2 linked regions of the Chlamydomonas reinhardtii genome follow. The protein of the gene in region 1 interacts with the protein of each later gene in a pairwise test. Links are inferred from orthologs where the notes say so. Each region holds a gene or a part of one and is shown in the gene's direction. Other genes may lie near its edges. The genes, in order: CHLRE_01g019750v5 and CHLRE_02g084800v5.

What was found.
Region 2: the proteins of CHLRE_01g019750v5 (region 1) and CHLRE_02g084800v5 interact in binary tests that used the Arabidopsis thaliana proteins (3 or more experiments, as listed by UniProt). The link is inferred for Chlamydomonas reinhardtii from reciprocal best matches to the Arabidopsis thaliana genes TOP6B and RHL2.

What each region holds. Positions count from the first base shown.
Region 1 is NC_057004.1:3,155,278-3,159,797, forward strand, and holds the start of CHLRE_01g019750v5 (uncharacterized protein), read left to right. Parts: upstream 1-1,718; 5' UTR 1,719-1,929; coding exon 1,930-2,019; intron 2,020-2,218; coding exon 2,219-2,316; intron 2,317-2,528; coding exon 2,529-2,634; intron 2,635-2,924; coding exon 2,925-2,981; intron 2,982-3,099; coding exon 3,100-3,216; intron 3,217-3,617; coding exon 3,618-3,708; intron 3,709-3,904; coding exon 3,905-4,037; intron 4,038-4,282; coding exon 4,283-4,384; intron 4,385-4,520. Other genes in the region: CHLRE_01g019700v5 (uncharacterized protein), read right to left, coding at 286-412, 575-699, 970-1,191, 1,348-1,470. UniProt on the Arabidopsis thaliana protein: Component of the DNA topoisomerase VI involved in chromatin organization and progression of endoreduplication cycles. Relaxes both positive and negative superturns and exhibits a strong decatenase activity. The B subunit binds ATP.
Region 2 is NC_057005.1:1,563,591-1,567,452, forward strand, and holds the end of CHLRE_02g084800v5 (uncharacterized protein), read left to right. Parts: coding exon 1-75; intron 76-318; coding exon 319-381; intron 382-556; coding exon 557-656; intron 657-1,287; coding exon 1,288-1,392; intron 1,393-1,653; coding exon 1,654-1,701; intron 1,702-1,915; coding exon 1,916-1,984; intron 1,985-2,306; coding exon 2,307-2,402; 3' UTR 2,403-3,126; downstream 3,127-3,862. UniProt on the Arabidopsis thaliana protein: Component of the DNA topoisomerase VI involved in chromatin organization and progression of endoreduplication cycles. Relaxes both positive and negative superturns and exhibits a strong decatenase activity. Involved in cell-elongation processes.

The sequences.
Region 1 (4,520 bases):
CCAGCCAACTCTTCCCGCCAGGACCTGCAGCATCCTCTGCGCCGTCCCAAGCCATGTCCTCCCCTCCGTCTTGCACTGCATTCCTGGTTTGGGCGACGACTTCTTGACACTTGCCATCTATTTCGTCGGGCTTGGGCATACATCCCCCACTGCATCTTCCACCGCCTGCGCTCCCTGCGGCTTCTCAAATCCTTCTCAAATCCTCCCACCCTCGCCTGGCCTCCCCCTCCCAAGTCCTTCACGCCTCCTTGCGCTCCCCCCGCTCCTCCCGCGCCCTCTCCTCACCAGCTGCGTGAGGCTGCGCAGGCGCGGCTCCAGCTGCATGAGGCCGCGCACCACGTGCGCCCGCAGCGCGAAGCCCGGGTATGCCACGCACACGCGCACGGGGATGCCGCTGCCCGCGTGCTCGAAGCTGCCGGCAACGGCAGTCACAGCGGAGGGCGCGTACCAAGTAAAAGATATGTCATGTGCGGTAGCTGATGTGCGTCCTTGATGGTAAGATGAACAGAAGATTGAGAGAGGCATGGAGAGCGATGCAAGCTACGGCGGGGAAGGCAGTGCGTTGCTGCCGCACCTAACGGAGGGTACTCGCGCGGTGCGGTTGATGGCCACGGTGCCCTGCGCCGCCATGCCACTGTCCCGCACCAGCCCATGCACCCGTTCCAGCAGCTGAAGCCGCTCCTGGGGAGGCAGCCGCTCCTGCAGGGTTGGGGTGGGGGTTGAGGGGGTAGCGAATGGGCGGGAGCAGCATGCGGGAGTAGCTGTCGACACGGGATGTGAGATGATGTCTGCCAGCTACATGGCGCGTGTAAAGCTGAGCCGTCAAACACCTGCACGCACTTTGCTGGCGGAGCAGGGGGTCACCCTCTGCTGCGTGCCTAGCGCCCCCACGCCAGGGCCCTCAAGAAGCCTATCAGTATTTGCAAGGCCATGCCTGTGCGGCTGCCATCTGTCCCTGCTGCGGCTCACCACGTCCGTCGCCTCGCCGCCCTGTGTGCTGGCCGGCAGGCGGCCCGTGACTGCTACCTCAAGCGCAGAGGCGGAGGTGAAGCAGCCCATGAGGAAGGAGCCGTGCGGCACCGCGGCCAGCGAGCCCCCCAGGCTGCCCGCAGTGTCCGCAGACACAAGGCGTGCCAGGTCTGCGACGACGTCCAGCCGGGCGCCATCATCCTCTGGCGTGGGTGCCTCCATCTGCAATGTGTGTACGTGCGTAAGCAGTGATGATTGGGGTTCGGGCCAGTTGACCAGGCACGGCCCCGCGCAACATTGCTGTCAGCTCAAACCGAGCAATCGCTTTCCCCAACGCCCGAGGCTTCCTCGATGCGCATGCAGAATTTCCTGGTTTACCTGAGCAATCTTGTGCAGCAAATCCTCTAATGTGCTGTTCAGCTGCGAGGTCGCTTGGCGCTGCGCCAGGAACGTCTCCCACGCAGCAGGCAGCAGCGCCGCTATGTCATTTGTTGCACTCATTTCTATTGTGCTATGGCCCCGGCTGGGGGCCCCTACTGCGCTGCGCTCAGGGAAAGCCGCTCTAAACTTCAAGCTTTGGCAGTTGCACCTCAGGTCGCATTTTCTCCATCTCTGGTGTCTCTACTCAATATATTCACATTAAGTCCAGCGTTATGGCATGCGGGCGTGTTGTGGAAGTGGGAACGGCAATGCGGGCGAGCTCGCTGGATCCAATATTTCGCAGCGCTCTTCCATCTCCACCTCTGTTTCTTCCTTAGCTCTTCCACAGTCTACACGTGCAAGCATATGTAATATTGTGCCCTCAAAAAGCGTTGTTCAAAACAGAACTAGGGTGCAGGCCAAGGGCCAAAGCCCGATTTGATCCCGGGCTTGAGTGCGACAGTCATGAAGCGCATGTTGCGCGGATAGTCATCATAGAGCGGCCTCAGACGGTGCCTGAGGAGGGGTCCATACGCGAGAATGGCTCCGAAGGGCAAGGCGGATGCGCTGGTGCAGAAGAGCCCTGCGGAGTTCTTTGCGGAGAATAAGAATATTGCGGGATTTGACAATGTGAGTCCGAAGGGCCACTGGCGGGGTTGTATATGACGCTTGTGCCCTGCTTGGGCGGGTGCGGCGGAGGTGGTGTGTGCCAGCGTGCCAGATTGGGCTGTTGGTACACAATCTTGGATACTCGGTCGCAACGAACGCCAGCGCTTTCTACTGATAAGCCTCAGCGCACATGGCACGCGTGCTCCTTGTCCCGCTACAGCCGGGCAAGTGCCTGTACACCACCATCCGTGAGCTGGTGGAGAATGCGCTTGACGCGGCGGAGTCGATTGGGGAGCTGCCCGCCATTGAAATCACCATGTGAGGAATCGGGGAGGGAGGCTACGGGGAAGGTGCGCGGTCGTTGGGCACACAATGGTCCCTCCCCTTGGCCATGGCCCACCTCTCTAACGTCCGGCCACCATTCCTCTCAACCGCATACACCCGCTCCCTCCCTCCTTCAATCTCCCTCCACTCCTCCCTCCACCCCGTCCTTCACCCCTCCCTCCGCCCCTCCCTCCCAAACCCCGAAGCGAGGAGGTGTCCAAGGCGCGGCTAAACCGCATCCGGGGCGTCGAGCACCACGACCGCCTGGACGAACAGCTGTATCAGGACTTTGAGACGGAGGAGGCAAAGAAGGTGCGTGCGTGGGTTTGTGCGTGTTACGAAAGCACAGGTGGAGAGATGCAATACCCACATGTGTTAAAGTAAGGAGCAAAGTGTGTGGGGGGGCATGTCGGGGGTCTGAGGGAGGCGGGGCCGCGGGAGGGGCCCACGGCACACGGATGCCGCCATCAGTCACAGCGCCAGGCTGGCGCTACCGTACATGGCGTCCACGGCAAGGGACGCGGTGGTGCCGAGGCGAGATGACCGCGCGCTCCACTCCCTGTAGTGACGCCCTGCCGCCCTGCTCTCCACCCTCCCCACAGAAACGGCTGGCCAAGGAGGCGCGGGAGCAGGAGAAGCTCAAGAAGCTCATCGAGAAGGTGCATATATATATATATATGCCGGAAGGCAGTAATGTGTGCCCTATCAAACGTGTAACCCACCTACACGGCTATTGGACCCCACTTGACTAGCCCGCCTGTGCACGACTGCCTGCAGCACGGCGAGGGCAGCAAGGAGGCCGAGGCCAAGCGCAAGGAGCTGGCGGCGGTGGCGGGCGCGGCCAAGCCCGGAGCCAACATGCGCGGCAACCTGTTCTACAAGGTCACCGTCAAGGTGCGTGCGTGGGTGTTAGGGGGGTGTTTCCACCATTTCCAACAAGAAACCAGGGACACGAAGGGTGTTTCGGGGGGCCCAGGACTGGGGGCACTCAGGGGCGAAAGGGGAGGTGGGAGTGCAATGGGGCGGGGCATGGGCAGGGCGGGCGCGCATGCAATGTCATGGTACTGTCATGCTCAGTGCACGCTTGAATACGTCCGTGTACGGCCTATGAAATGCCGCTGCGGCTACCGCTGCTGCGTCCTTGTTGGGTTTTGGTTGTGCTATGGGACATTGGTAAGGCTGGTCGTTGGGTCTTGGGGTTGGAATAGCCCCACCCCACTGTTCCTGGCTACGCCTTCACTTCTTGAATAATTGTGAACGTAACCCCACCCCACCCCCGCTGTTCCGGGCTCCAGGACAACGGCGCGGGCATGCCGCACAAGGACATCCCTAACATGCTGGGCCGCGTGCTCAGCGGCACCAAGTACGGAGTCAAGCAGACACGAGGTGTGTGGCTGGGGGTGGTGCGGTGGGTGCGGTGCGGTGCCACGCATTTGGTCTGTGCAACGCGGCGCACGTCATCGTCCTCGTACACACACCCATTTCTCGTCCCCTACCCCACCCACACAATCTCTCGCCCCTTGTGCTTTCCGCACTTGCTCCCCTTGTGCTCTTCTATGACGCCAACACCGCATCAACACAGGCAAGTTCGGTCTGGGCGCCAAGATGGCCCTCATTTGGTCCAAGATGACCACCGGCCTGCCCTTCGAGATCAGCTCCGCCACGCCGCGCGCCGCACTGCGCTCCCACTACCGCCTGGACATAGACATACACAAGTGAGCCCCAGGCAGGCGGTCAGCGGGGGAGTGGAGGAGCGGGCGGGCGCGCGGATAAAGGAAGGGGGGTCGGGGGGGGGGCAAGGTCAGCGGAAGGGCGAGCTGCTGGGAAGGGACGCCCCGGCGGTGGCCATGGAGGGCGCCCGGCGCCGCTATCCTCTACCACAGGCACCCTAGCTCTGACACCGTCGCACTCGTCCCCATTTGGATTAAGGCACATCGCCGCACGCTCGCCCGCTTGTCAGGAACGAGCCCAGCATCCACCTGGAGGAGCAGCTGCCCAACCCGGACGGCTGGCACGGCTCCAGCCTCAGCCTCACCATCGAGGGCAACTGGAGCACGTACCGGTGGGGGCACTGGGCCGCGGCGGTCACAACGCACCGCACTGCGGGTGGAGGGGAGGAGAGAAGAGGGAGAGGGAGAGGGAAAGTGGGAGGGAGAGGGAAGGCGCAGGAGGGTGGGGTGGGGGCTGACGCGAATGGG
Region 2 (3,862 bases), on another chromosome or scaffold:
GGACATCTCTTCTGACGCGTCCTTCATCCTGCTGGTTGAGAAGGACGCTGCATTCATGCGCCTGGCGGAGGACAGGTGGGGTAGGGGCGGGAGGAGGAGGAGGAGGAGGAGGAGGAGGAGGAGGAGGAGGAGGGGAAGGACGAGGAGGAGGAGGGGCAGGAGGAGGGCAGGAGGAGGGCAGGAGGAGGAGGTTACGACGCGGATGTGGGGCGATGCCGACACACACACACACACACACACACACACACACACACACACACACACACACACACACACACACATACATACACACACACACACATACGCACGCGCGCACAGGTTCTACAACACCTACCCCTGCATCATCCTCACCGCAAAGGGGCAGCCCGACGTGGCCACGCGGTGCGAGACACAATTACTTCCCTTGGAGTGCCTTCACCGGCGGGGCATGGCCACTGCGCCAAGGGTGCTCTAGAAGGACTTGCCTGCCTGCCTGTCTGCATCCAATGCCACGCCTTGCTCATCTGCTCAGCGCCCGCACAAGCCTTTATCGCACTTATCACGCGCCCGTCCACAGCCTGTTCCTCAAGAAGCTCAAGTCCAGCCTGAAGATCCCGGTGCTGGCGCTGGTGGACAGCGACCCCTACGGCCTCAAGATCCTGTCCGTGTACATGAAGGCGAGCCAGCGCCCGAGCGGGAGGCGGGGGTTATAAATACCAGCCCAAGCTAAAGCAAATCGAGCTGAACTAGCGGGGCAGGCAGGCGGGGACGGGTATGGGCCAGGCGCGGAAAGCCGGGTTTGACACTTCTGTACAGCCTGCAGTCAAACTGCCCCCGAGCTGCTGCGCGCATGCTTTCAGTGTGCCTGCTACTTCTTGCACACCGCCCCAGCCACTCTGACCCCTCCCCTCGGACCCAGTAACCCCATCCCCTGTGTCGCGCTCGCTACTTTGCGAGTTTCGTTCTGTCAGTACTGACGCCGTCATCCCTGGCTACGCTCTATCTTTGCGTGGCTACACGGCGGTTCAGGCTCGCCCTCCCAACCCCGCACGAAGACCGCAGTTCTCTGCTTGCATGTACCCTCTCCGGCGGCGGAGCCGCCCTCACAACTTGTAACACGACGCAGTGCATGGAAACCCATCCCCTTCAACGTGCCGCCCCTACTCTCCCCCACTCTCCCTCCGCCCTATTTGCTATACAACTATCCCTGGCTGCGCTTCCACTTCTTGAACAATCATGAATGTGACTCCCCCTTACCACTTCCCTAATTTATCATGAATGTGCTCCCCTTCACCCTCCCCCCCTCAGGGCTCCATGAACATGTCGTACGACAGCTCCAACCTCACCACCCCCGACATCAAGTGGCTGGGCGTGAGGCCCTCCGACCTGGACCGCTTCGATATCCCGCAGCAGGTGTGGCGGCGGGCGGCCGTGTGAGAGGGTGGCTGGGGTGGCCGGCGAGTGCAGGGCGTTTACACGGGCGGCGGCAGACAGCACTTGCGCGGACCGCTCCTCTACCCCCAGGTCCGCACTCATCCACTCCCGCCGCGTCCACTCCTGCCCCCTCACCGGACCTCCTCCGCCCTCTGGTTCTGGGTATAGGTATTAGTTGGGTTTGAAATACGGTAAACTATTCCCCCTCCTCCACTCCCGCCCCCTCTGCTCCCCTGTCAGTGCCGGCTGCCCATGACGGAAGAGGACATCAAGACCGGCAAGCGCCTGGTGAGGCCGGGCTTCCACGCATTTGTAACAGCTTTCGGGACAAGTTCTGTTTTACGTTGCACAGCCCCACTGCGCTACACCGCACCACCACGTGCAGCAGCCATCGCGCGGCCACACCGGCACACTCTCTCCACGGCTCAAGAACCCCCACCCCCAACCCTCCTGCTCCTGCTCCTGCATCTCCCGCCATCCTCTGTCCCCTCCCCCTCCTCAGCTGGAGGAGGACTGGATCAAGAGCAACCCCGAGTGGGTGCGCGAGCTGGAGCTCATGCTGGCCAGCAAGGTACGCTGCCGCCGCCACAGCAGCAGCAGCAGCAACCGATTGCATGGAAGTAACGCGGACTCTGTCGCGCGCTGGTCTGTTGTCTTGGGTGCTGCCCACGGGTGCTGCCCACGGGTGCTGCCCCTCACCCGCCCATCCCCTCATCACCTGTCCCTCACATGTCTTTCACAGTCCGCAACCCGAGCCCGTGCGCACCTCACACATCCCCCACCTGTCTCCCACCTGGCTACGACCGTTCACCCCCCTACACCTGCTGTCTATTTCGCTACACTTCACAGTACCAAACTTTGCAACCCTCGATGCCCCCTTCTCGCCCGTGCAGGTCAAGGCTGAGATCCAGGCGCTGTCCAGTTTTGGATTCCAGTACCTCAGCCAGGTGTACCTGCCGCTCAAGCTGCAGGAGGGAGACTGGATCTAGATTCTTGATCTAGGACCTGGATCTTAATGTGCCACGTGGCGTGTGATGAGGCTCGGGCTCAGGTGGCGGGTGTGTGGGGGTGCGGGTGCTTTGGGAGGAACGGTGGGGAGGGCGGGACCCAGGGGAGGGCGAGAGGGACACCAGTTGTGCGTGTGGCTGGGTTTCCACGTGGTGGAGGGGAGCTTGGGAAGCGCGGTGTGCCTGCGATTGCCTACGACTGCGCCATACAGGTCGTCGATGAGGGCGGTCACGCGCCGTGCAGGGGCACAGCAGGAGGAACGGAACGGAACAGGTTGCGGGCAGACGAACATGCATCCCGTGCTAATGACAGGGGGGCACAGCGCCCCCAGAAGAGGGGGCACGGCACGTGTTTGCCAGTGTGAAGCAGCGCACGCACGCGGCTGCAACGCAGGATGGACTACCTTATTGAATGTTGCCAGACCCTAAGATTAAGATGCCTGGTCAAGGCAAGATTGCACAGATGTCGCTCTGGGCGTTTTCGAGGCTGCATGGCTCTTCACGCGCATCGGGATGGCGAACGGACATAAGGGTCGCGGGAAAGCCGTGGGAGCTGCTCAGGCTGAGAGGAAAGGGCAGGGCGAGAACCCGCAGCCCTGCACGTTGGCCCGGCGGCGTTCACTGGTTGAGGCGCCAATTATCAGATTGCTTGCTGGTATTGATGGCTCCCCATGAAGCAAGTGTTCCTGTGGCAAGCGGTCAATGAACTGGCGTGCAAGCCCGTGCCAGCTAGAGCGGTACACCCGGCCTGTTGGCGGTCGCTCCGGCGCTTCCACAGCAGTAATACCGGCGAAGGCAAGGCCAGGGGAGGGGTGAAGGCGGGAAGGTGGAGGCGGCACGCGCGGACGGACGTACACATTCGGGCCCCTCTTCTGCTTTGCTTCGCCTTGTTCTTGCCCCTGTTTGTCACACTGTCGCCCGGCCATTGTTTTGCTGCACGCCGTTGCATTACGCTAGTGCTCGTCTACACAGCTCATCCGTGGACGCCGGTCGACTGCCTGCAGGTGCGCATCGGCTATGCTATCCGCGCGGTGTGGCGTCGCATTGAGTCTGTGTGGTGCTATCGCCTTGGCCGGGCGCCCGGAGCGTGAGGAATGCGCGTCAGCAAAACATCGACACAACCTGCCAGCTACCGTCGGTACAGTAACAGCGCGCGAACGACGCACCAATGCCTTGTCCCTTCTTGCTACGCATTTATGTGGGCACGGGTGGGAGCCACACACATCGGGACTACGCTTTCCTGCCCCTTGCCATGTTCCATCACGGGCACGCGCGGACGGGGTGGCAGCGGAGCTCAGTTGCCAGGGGTAAAGTTAAAGGCCGCGAAGGCGGGGGCTGTAACCCTGTAACGGCCTGCCGTTATCGGCGGCCCAGAGCTGGCAGGATGATGCTGGCACGCATGGCGCCCCAGTAGGAACCGGCACTACGGCAGCCAAGACGAC